Linked DNA regions of Canis lupus familiaris. Each later gene encodes a partner of the first gene's protein in a complex. Links are inferred from orthologs where the notes say so. Each region holds a gene or a part of one and is shown on either strand. Other genes may lie near its edges. The genes, in order: SLC9A1 and CHP2.

Evidence for each region.
Region 2: the proteins of SLC9A1 (region 1) and CHP2 are in contact, whole or in part, in a crystal structure (PDB 2BEC), measured with the Homo sapiens proteins. The link is inferred for Canis lupus familiaris from reciprocal best matches to the Homo sapiens genes SLC9A1 and CHP2. Residues at the interface, in NP_003038.2 of Homo sapiens: Ser517, Ile518, Asn519, Glu520, Ile522, His523, Thr524, Gln525, Phe526, Leu527, Asp528, His529, Leu530, Leu531, Thr532, Gly533, Ile534, Glu535, Asp536, Ile537, Cys538, Gly539, His540; in NP_071380.1 of Homo sapiens: Arg30, Arg34, Leu38, Leu51, Ile54, Ala56, Leu57, Asn60, Pro61, Leu62, Ile66, Phe70, Phe83, Leu87, Phe90, Tyr118, Ala119, Leu122, Tyr123, Met136, Val139, Leu140, Met143, Ile156, Arg159, Thr160, Glu163, Ala164, Phe177, Ser180.

What each region holds. Positions count from the first base shown.
Region 1 is NC_049223.1:72,491,315-72,495,114, forward strand, and holds part of SLC9A1 (sodium/hydrogen exchanger 1), read left to right. Parts: intron 1-230; coding exon 231-433; intron 434-1,940; coding exon 1,941-2,030; intron 2,031-2,516; coding exon 2,517-2,587; intron 2,588-2,706; coding exon 2,707-2,880; intron 2,881-3,140; coding exon 3,141-3,255; intron 3,256-3,389; coding exon 3,390-3,491; intron 3,492-3,800. UniProt on the Homo sapiens protein: Electroneutral Na(+) /H(+) antiporter that extrudes Na(+) in exchange for external protons driven by the inward sodium ion chemical gradient, protecting cells from acidification that occurs from metabolism.
Region 2 is NC_049227.1:22,370,920-22,375,502, forward strand, and holds the start of CHP2 (calcineurin B homologous protein 2), read right to left. Parts: upstream 3,010-4,583; 5' UTR 2,970-3,009; coding exon 2,903-2,969; intron 2,621-2,902; coding exon 2,548-2,620; intron 2,458-2,547; coding exon 2,377-2,457; intron 2,278-2,376; coding exon 2,147-2,277; intron 1,990-2,146; coding exon 1,928-1,989; intron 775-1,927; coding exon 652-774; intron 471-651; coding exon 417-470; 3' UTR 1-416. UniProt on the Homo sapiens protein: Functions as an integral cofactor in cell pH regulation by controlling plasma membrane-type Na(+)/H(+) exchange activity.

The DNA.
Region 1 (3,800 bases):
CTCCTGCCATCTCCCTTCTGACTTCCAGCCACTGGAGGCCTCTGTGATGCCTCTAAAGCACATCCAGGTTGGGAGACCCCCTTAAGGATCCACCCAGCTCATGGCTGAGGGACCCAGGAAATGAGTGCACTGGGTGGGTATACTAGCCAAGGCTTCCTCCAGGCAGAGCAGGTGCAGAAGCCAGGAGGGGCTGGGGACAGCATGACACTCTTCTTGCCCTTCCCTGGCAGGTGTGCTGGGCCTGACCTGGTTCATCAACAAGTTCCGAATTGTGAAGCTGACCCCCAAGGACCAGTTCATCATCGCTTACGGGGGTCTTCGAGGGGCCATAGCCTTCTCCCTGGGCTACCTCCTGGACAAGAAGCACTTCCCCATGTGTGACCTGTTCCTCACTGCCATCATCACTGTCATCTTCTTCACCGTCTTTGTGCAGGTGCTGGCCAGGGCGGAGCGGCCCTGCCTGGGGACCCTGACTCTGCAGGTGGAAAGAGGAGGCGCACAACCTGAGACAGAGCCATGGGCTCTGGTCCACCGATAACTTGCTACACAATCTTGGGCAAGCCGCTCCTCCTTTCTGGGCCTCAGTTTCCTTAATTGTGAAGGGGGAATTGTGATAATGAGCGACCAGTCAGAATGCTGCCTAACATTCAATCCAGACAGTGTTGAGAGAAGGTGCAGTCAGCAGGCTTGTGGTGCTCATTATAGGGCTTTAGGGAAATGACCTAATGTCTTAGGATCTCCATTTCTGTGCCTATAAAATGGGAATAATAGCACAACACGGGGAGCTATAAAGATTGCTGAACTGGGCAACAGGAGGTCTGGAGTCAGCCCAAGCTCTGCTGCTCTCCTGTGACCCTGGGAAAGACCCTCCTGTTTCTGGGTCTTGGTTCCCCATCTATGAAGTGAGGGCAGATGATCCCAGAGTCCCTCCAGCCTGCTGGCCAGTGATTTCTGTGCATTTAATGACCCTGGCTTAGCTGAGAGTTCCCCCAGCCCCTTCAGAATTCCCAGAAAAACCCAGCCTGGATGGTGTAAATTGCTCCACCGTACCTGACCTCTGACTTTGGGCAAGTGAGAAACAGTCTGTCCGGGCCTCCATTTCTCTGTCCCTTCTGTCTTTCCTAGACATAAATCTTGGCAAAGCTTTCATGGGAAACAGCATTGCCTTCTCAGGAGAAAACCATGTGGAGACATCTTCCTGGGGCCAGACTCACCTTCTGTCCCTTACAAGGATAGGGCTCTTTTGCCCTCTTGCCCTGTTTCCATCGTCAAAAACATTTTATCACCTTGACTTTGCAGTTGTGTACGCTAATGGCTAGCCAGGCCCATTTTCGATGAAGTCAGCATTGAGGGAGGGGTGCCCCTGCCTGGGTTTGAATCCAGCTTTACCACTACTTCTGTAAGACCTCAGGAAATTACTTAACCTCTCACTTGTAAGATGGGGACAATGGAAGAACCTACCTCTCAGGGTCAGTGTGGGTATTCAAGAGCTAGTACCTAGTAAATCACAACTAATTCTGGCACGTGGTATTCGTGCAATTAAATTAGCTTGCTGCGGCCGTTACCAGCTGGTCAATTGCAGTCCTGTGAGGGAGGTAGAACAGAAGTGGTTTTCCCTATCAGCCAGATCTAACTTCTCTGGGTTACAAAGCGCATTTGAGGTTGAGTCCACATTTGAACCCAGGCCTTCTGACCCCCTCACCCGGACTGGATGGCTGATGTGTGAGTCATTCAGCTGGGTGGGCTATGTCTTCAGGAAGAAGTGGGCCTTAAGGACCTGCCTTTGTACAAGGGCTGACATGAAGGTTGGGGGAGTGGGGACCTCAGAGCAGAAAGCATCCCAGCTTCAGGGGCTCTGGGTGGTGGTGGGGGAGAGAGGCACTGTGGCCTCCCTGCCAGGGTCACTGACCTGGAGTGCCTGACGCCCACCTGTCCTCCAGGGCATGACCATTCGGCCCCTGGTAGACCTGTTGGCTGTGAAGAAAAAGCAAGAAACGAAGCGCTCTATCAACGAGGAGATCCACACACAGGTACTGGACACTGGGCCTTGGCTGCTGGTTGCAGGAGAAGGCTCAGGGAGCTGGGCAGCAGCTAGGCCTCATGTCCGTTGCTTCACTTGGCCCCTCCACCCTTATCCCAGTGCTGGGTGATCCTTCAGCCCCTTGAGGTCACCAGATCGTGCCATAGGCACATGTAGTGTGGGCAACCAGGAGCCCACTCTAGGAGGGGGTGTCATGCCATTTCTACCTCTAGTAGGAACCTAACCCAGGCATTGGGCACAAGTGGATTCAGGGAAGGGGGCTCAGCCAGGCTCCCTGTCGGGGTTTGAGGTGCTACAGGTTCAGAATGAGTGAGATGTTGGTGCCACCTGCTGGCTGCTCCTGGAACTACAAGGCTGGGCTGAGCAGAGCTGCACCAGGGTGGAAGGTGGGGGGTGAGGGGGGCCTGTCAGAAATCTTGGTAGGGAAGGAACCTTCCCAGTAGTGAGGCTTGACCTGGCCCTGGGCCCATTTCAGTTCCTGGACCACCTTCTGACAGGCATCGAGGACATCTGTGGCCATTACGGCCACCACCACTGGAAGGACAAGTAGGTGGCAGGCCTGGTGGGCTGGTGGGTGGGGAGGGGCAGGTGAGGGTCTCCCTGGGCCTGGGTGTCTCCCCACCCTGAGGAGCTGCCTACACGCATCTTCTCCCTCCTCCCACCAGGCTCAACCGGTTTAACAAGAAATATGTGAAGAAGTGTCTGATAGCAGGGGAGCGCTCCAAGGAACCCCAGCTCATCGCCTTCTACCACAAGATGGAGATGAAGCAGGCAATTGAGCTGGTGGAGAGCGGTGGCATGGGCAAGATCCCTTCTGCTGTCTCCACTGTCTCCATGCAGTGAGTGCTGATGGCCAACGCTGGCAGCTTCCGTACCCCCACACCGACCCAGTCCACACCAACCTGGCAGGCCACCAGTGGGCCGGGGGGCGGGGCAGTGGCAGGCCCCTCTGTTGTCCCAGCAAGGTGGCTGAGAGAGCTGCAGGGCCACAGATGACCACCCACGCATGCCATCCCTGGGATGACTTCCTGGCCTAGGACAGCAGGCTCCAGGGTCACAGGAGTTTTCTGGGGGACCTAACCTGTGGCCTGTTTTGCAGGAACATCCACCCCAAGTCTCTGCCTGCTGAGCGCATCCTGCCGGCACTGTCCAAGGACAAGGAGGAGGAGATCCGCAAAATCCTGAGGAACAACTTACAGAAGACGAGGCAGCGGGTGAGGGGCAGCTCCCTGCCGGGTGCCCTACAGCAGAGGAGCCCCTCTGCTCCAGCCCTGCCCCACACAGGTGCAGAGCCTCCCTGGCCCCGTCAGGCCCAGCTTCCGGGGGCTGACAGCTGTTCCTCCCACAGCTGCGATCCTACAACAGACACACACTGGTGGCAGATCCCTACGAGGAGGCCTGGAACCAGATGCTGCTCCGCAGACAGAAGGCCCGGCAGCTAGAGCAGAAGGTGTGTCTGGGACTGGAGCTGGCTCCTGCCTTTCCCTGGGAGTCTGGGTTCTTCTTCTTCCTATACCCTACCATCAAGTCCCTTTGCAGAGAGAGCCACTGCAGTTTCTTTCGACTCCTCTACTTGTTTTGAAGACTGAGCTCCGGGGCAGGTTCCAGAAGCTGCCTCCTCCTCCACCTCCTCCCCACTCAGGGCAGCAAAGAGGCCAGTGCCTATTTGCTGCATCCTTAGGCATCTGAGTCTATCCGTGTGCTTAACCTCTTATTTTCTGGTAAAAACAAAACAAAACAAAACACTAAGGCCAAGGAA
Region 2 (4,583 bases), on another chromosome or scaffold:
CCCTCCTCCCAACACACACACACACACACACACACACACAGTCGATTGAGAAATTAATAACTGAGTCCTTTGAATTTAACTGTGCCTGAAGACACTTCCAGGCTTTTCCTATATTCTGAAGATACTTTCAAACTTTTTAATTACATGAGCCCATAAAAATCCCCTTTTCACTTAAGTCACTGTAAATTGGGTTTTCAGTTGCTTGCAACCAGAAGATTGCTGGCTGATTTATGAATCTGAGATCAAATAAGCTACACTTTATTTAGTACACACCCTTCCAGCTTTCTCTCCTTGGCCCTAAATAGAGTTTAGCATAGACACATGAATACAGTTTTGCGGGCCCTGCCTCTGTAGGGGCTGAAGATAAATTCCACGCTGAGCTGGTCTGTGTAAGCTAGCCAACGGCACAAAGAGGGTCACTTCAGGATCCGGATGCTCATTTTCTGCTCGATGTCCATCTTCTCTAATGACTGGCAGGGGCAGATGGGTGGTAGTCAAGAGCTCAATCCTCTAGGCTTCCCACCTCCTCTCCTATCCCCAAAGCCCCACCTTTCCTTAGCGATCCCCATCCCTCTGCCCAAATTCCTTTCCCATGTCCATCTGTCCTAGGGACTCCTGAAGTCAACTCCCCAGGCCTCAGGGCATTCTGACCTTGGTGAACTCCAGGAAGGACACAGCCCCGTCCCCATCTTCATCCGCTTCCTGTACCGTGCGGTCGGCGATGCTCTCCAACTGCTCTTCTGTCACCTGCACCCCAACCATCAGCCGGAGGACCTGGGAGGCATACAGGGGACAGCCATAAAGAGGAGACACTCGCCCCATCCCCCAAACCTTGCCCACATCATCCTAAATGTTATTACCCCTTTTGTAATCTATCTCTCAACCATTTTTTTTCACTTCCCACCATATCCCAATAATTTCCCCTACTGCTTCTCCATTCAAACCCCCACCTGTCTCTCTATCTCACGTTCACCTCAACAGTATGCCCAAACTCATTACCCAAACCTAAGTCTTACAACTCAACCTCCCTCCATTCTCCACCCCATCCCCCTCCTCATCCTTCCACTATTCCCAATTCCACCACCACCACCACCCCCACTTCATCAAATCTATCACAGAGTTTCTGAATCTCAATACTGTTGACATTTGGGGCCTTGTTGTGGGAGAATGGGGGCTATCGTGTGTATCGAAAGATGTTTAGCAGCGTTTTTGACTTCTACCTACTAGATGCCAGCAGTGCTGCCCACTCCACTCCCTCAGTTGTGGCAACCAAAAATGTCTCTAGATATTGCCAACTCATTCAGGAGGTAAAATCACCTCCAGTTAAGAACCACTGGTCTAGGGATCCCTGGGTTGCTCAGTGGTTTAGCGCCTGCCTGCGGCCCAGGGCATGATCCTGAGTCCCAGTATCAAATCCCATATCGGACTCCTTGCATGGAGCCTGCTTCTCCCTCTGCCTGTGTCTCTGCTTCTCTCCCTCTCTCTGTGTCTCTCATGAATAAATAAATAAAAATCTTAAAAAAAAAAAAAAAGAACCACCAGTCTATTTCCAACCTCATAACCAACTGTTCCCCATCCATTTCCCAACTAAACCCCACCCAATGCTGGATTCCCACTTAATACCCCAGTGACCTGGGCAGCCCCGGTGGCTTAGCAGTTTGGTGCCACCTTCAGCCCAGGGTGTGATCCTGGAGACCCTGGATCAAACCCCACATCAGGCTCCCTGCATGGAGCCTGCTTCTCCCTCTGCCTGTGTCTGTGTGTGTGTGTGTGTGTGTGTCTAATAAATAAATAAATAATCTTAAAAAAAAATGCCCCAGTGACCTGCACCTCCATTGCCCAGTCACCCACCCCATCCCCCCGCAACCCTTCCCTTCAACAACCCATTTGTCAGATATCACATCTCTTGTTCTTGCATCCTTCCAACCTGTAGCATCTCGTGCCTGGAGATCTTTCCATCTCTATCCAGGTCATAGAGCTGAAATGCAACTGGAAGAGAATAGAGAGGGAGGGGAGGAGGAGGGAAAGCTGAGTGTTCCCTCGTTCTTTTCCAGCAGGTCACCCTGCTGGAGGCTTGGGGGAGGTCATCTACAGGCTCGCTAAGAGGTGCGGTGCATCGCTTGGGGAGGGGTCCCCACGAACTCACAGCGAAGTTTGTTCATTCGGCTGTTGAGGGGTTCAGGTTCCTTGGGGTCTCGCATGCTCGAGTCGTCATCATCGACAGGTCGAAAGTGAGCCAGGACTCTGACAAAGCCTGGGAAATCCACTCGCAGATTCCTGGGGACAATGGAGTGGAGGTGACCTTGGCCCTCCGCCTGCCTCTCCCCTTAACTCTCCCCCAAGCCCTCCCCCACCACACCCCCAGCGGGACCTCACCCGTCGGGGAAGAAGCTGTCTATGATGCGATCTCCCAGGGGGTTCACGGCCAGCGCCCCGATCTGCTGCAGATCCATGCGGCTGTCAAGTCAAAGTTCAGAGGGACGGAGGGTTAAGGAGGGGACCGGGTCCAGAGGGGCAGGTGGCAGGTCCTGGGGCCGGGTCCCTCACCTCAGGTAGCCCTTCTTGTTCCTGTCCAGTGCCCGAAACCGGTGGTAGAGGCGGAGCAGACTGGCCTGCGAGACTGCGGGACCGGAGGCGGAGGGTGACACGGCCGCGGGCGCTCCCCACTACCCGCTTCCCCGGGGTCCCTCCCCGGGACCTCCCCACCCCCCGGGCGGGACCTCCCCCGCCCCCCAGCCCCCCGGGACCCGGGCCGCGCGGCCGGGCTGCGGGGGGCGTGTCGACGCGCTCCCGCGGGGCCCGAGGCCCGGAGGCCCCCCCGTGCCCCCGCCCCCGTCCGCGGCCCCGCGGGGAGCCCCTCCCGACGCCCCCCGCCCCGGCTCCGAGCCCCGCGGCCGCTCACAGCCGGTCTCCCGGCGGATGCTGTCCGCGTCGGGAATGCGCGCCGCGTGGGAGCCGCGGGAGCCCATGGCTGCGCCTGCTGAGCCGCCCGGCCCCGGCCCCGGCCCCGGCCCCGGCCCCGCCCCGCCCCGCCCCCGCCCCCCGCGCCCGGGCGCGGCCGCCCGCTGGCCCCGGGGCCGAAGGCCGCAGGCCTGGCGCGGAGCCAGGCTCGGGAACCCCTGCGTGCCTCGCCTCCCACCCGCGACCCGGGCGGACGGAGAACAATGCCCAGCGTGGCGGGGTCAGAGGGGCGGCGCGGACAACGGGGCGTTTCATGCGGAGCCGAGCCGAGCCGAGCCGGAGCCCGCCGCGAGGTCGCCCGCCCGCCCGCCCCCCCGCCCCCCGGCCGCGCCATCTCACCCTCGGGACTCCCAGCCGCGTCCCCGCTCGCGGCTCCCGGGCAGGACGGCCGGGCCCGCCGACCTTGTCACCCAGGGACACAATCCACGTCCCCCGCGCAGGGGCCCCGGGGGGCGGGGCGGGGAGCTGGATGGACCCACTTGTCCCCAGCCCCCGGGGGCCCAGCCTGGGGCCCCTTCCTCAGGCTGCAGGAGCAGAAGAAGAGGCATTGAAGGACCCCCCAGGAAGGGTGGGGCGGGGAGGGTCGTGAGCCGTACAGGGGAGCTGGGGTGACCCGAAGGGCCCCTGGATTTGGAAGGATGTGGATGCAACCCCCAGCTACGCAGTTAACCCTGGACAAGTCTGTAGGACTTGCCTTCATCTCTTTTGTTCCTTCCACATAGCCTGATTGTTGATGGCCAATTGAGCCGGTGCTAAAATGCAGGAGATTAACGAGAAATCCAGTTGCCAGCTTCCGAGAAATCAAAAGTTCAGACGCCACCAGTTCCTGCCTGGCACACGGAGCTACACCCGGGGAACACGTGCCGTGTGTAAATGCGGCATCGCGGCCTGTCCCCTGGCCACAGTCTCCACCCAGCTCAGTTCCCTTCCTTCTGTGCCCCGTGGGACCTCCGGTAGAAGCTCAAGTTGGAATGCCTTGAGCCTCAGGCCAGCCCTCAAGCACCACAGGAACCCCCAGTCTGAGAGGGGGTTACAAACATCACTGTGACCAAGCTTAATATGGTGATAGTGGCAACAACAGGGCCTCTCATTTCCCGCTCACCATGCACCAACCACTTCTGTGAAACACAATGTGCATGATTAACTCACACTCCTCAAACCACCTGCTAGACTGCCTGCTTTTTTAAGTGGTGGAGGCTGCCAGGGGAGCCTGTTGTGAACTATTGAAAAGCACGTATCCAGGCAGCCCGGGTGGCTCAGCGGCTTAACACCACCTTCAGTCCAGGGCCTGATCCTGGAGTCCCGGGATCGAGTCCCACATCAGGCTCCCTGCATGGAGCCTGCTTCTCCCTCTGCATGTGTCTCTGCCTCTGTCTCTCTCTGTGTTTCTCATGAATAAATAAATAAAATACAAATAAAAAAAAAAAAGCACGTATCCCCAGTGGGGGACATATCTCCCCAAGAGGGGCCACAACTCATATTCTTTTTGTGTATAAAACACAGATACACATATAGTGCATAAATAGCATATAGCATATCTGGGGTATTAAAATTTCATAGTATTAAAATATCATGATTAGGAAAAATAGTGTAAAAACACTCCTTAAGGGCAGGCTGTAATG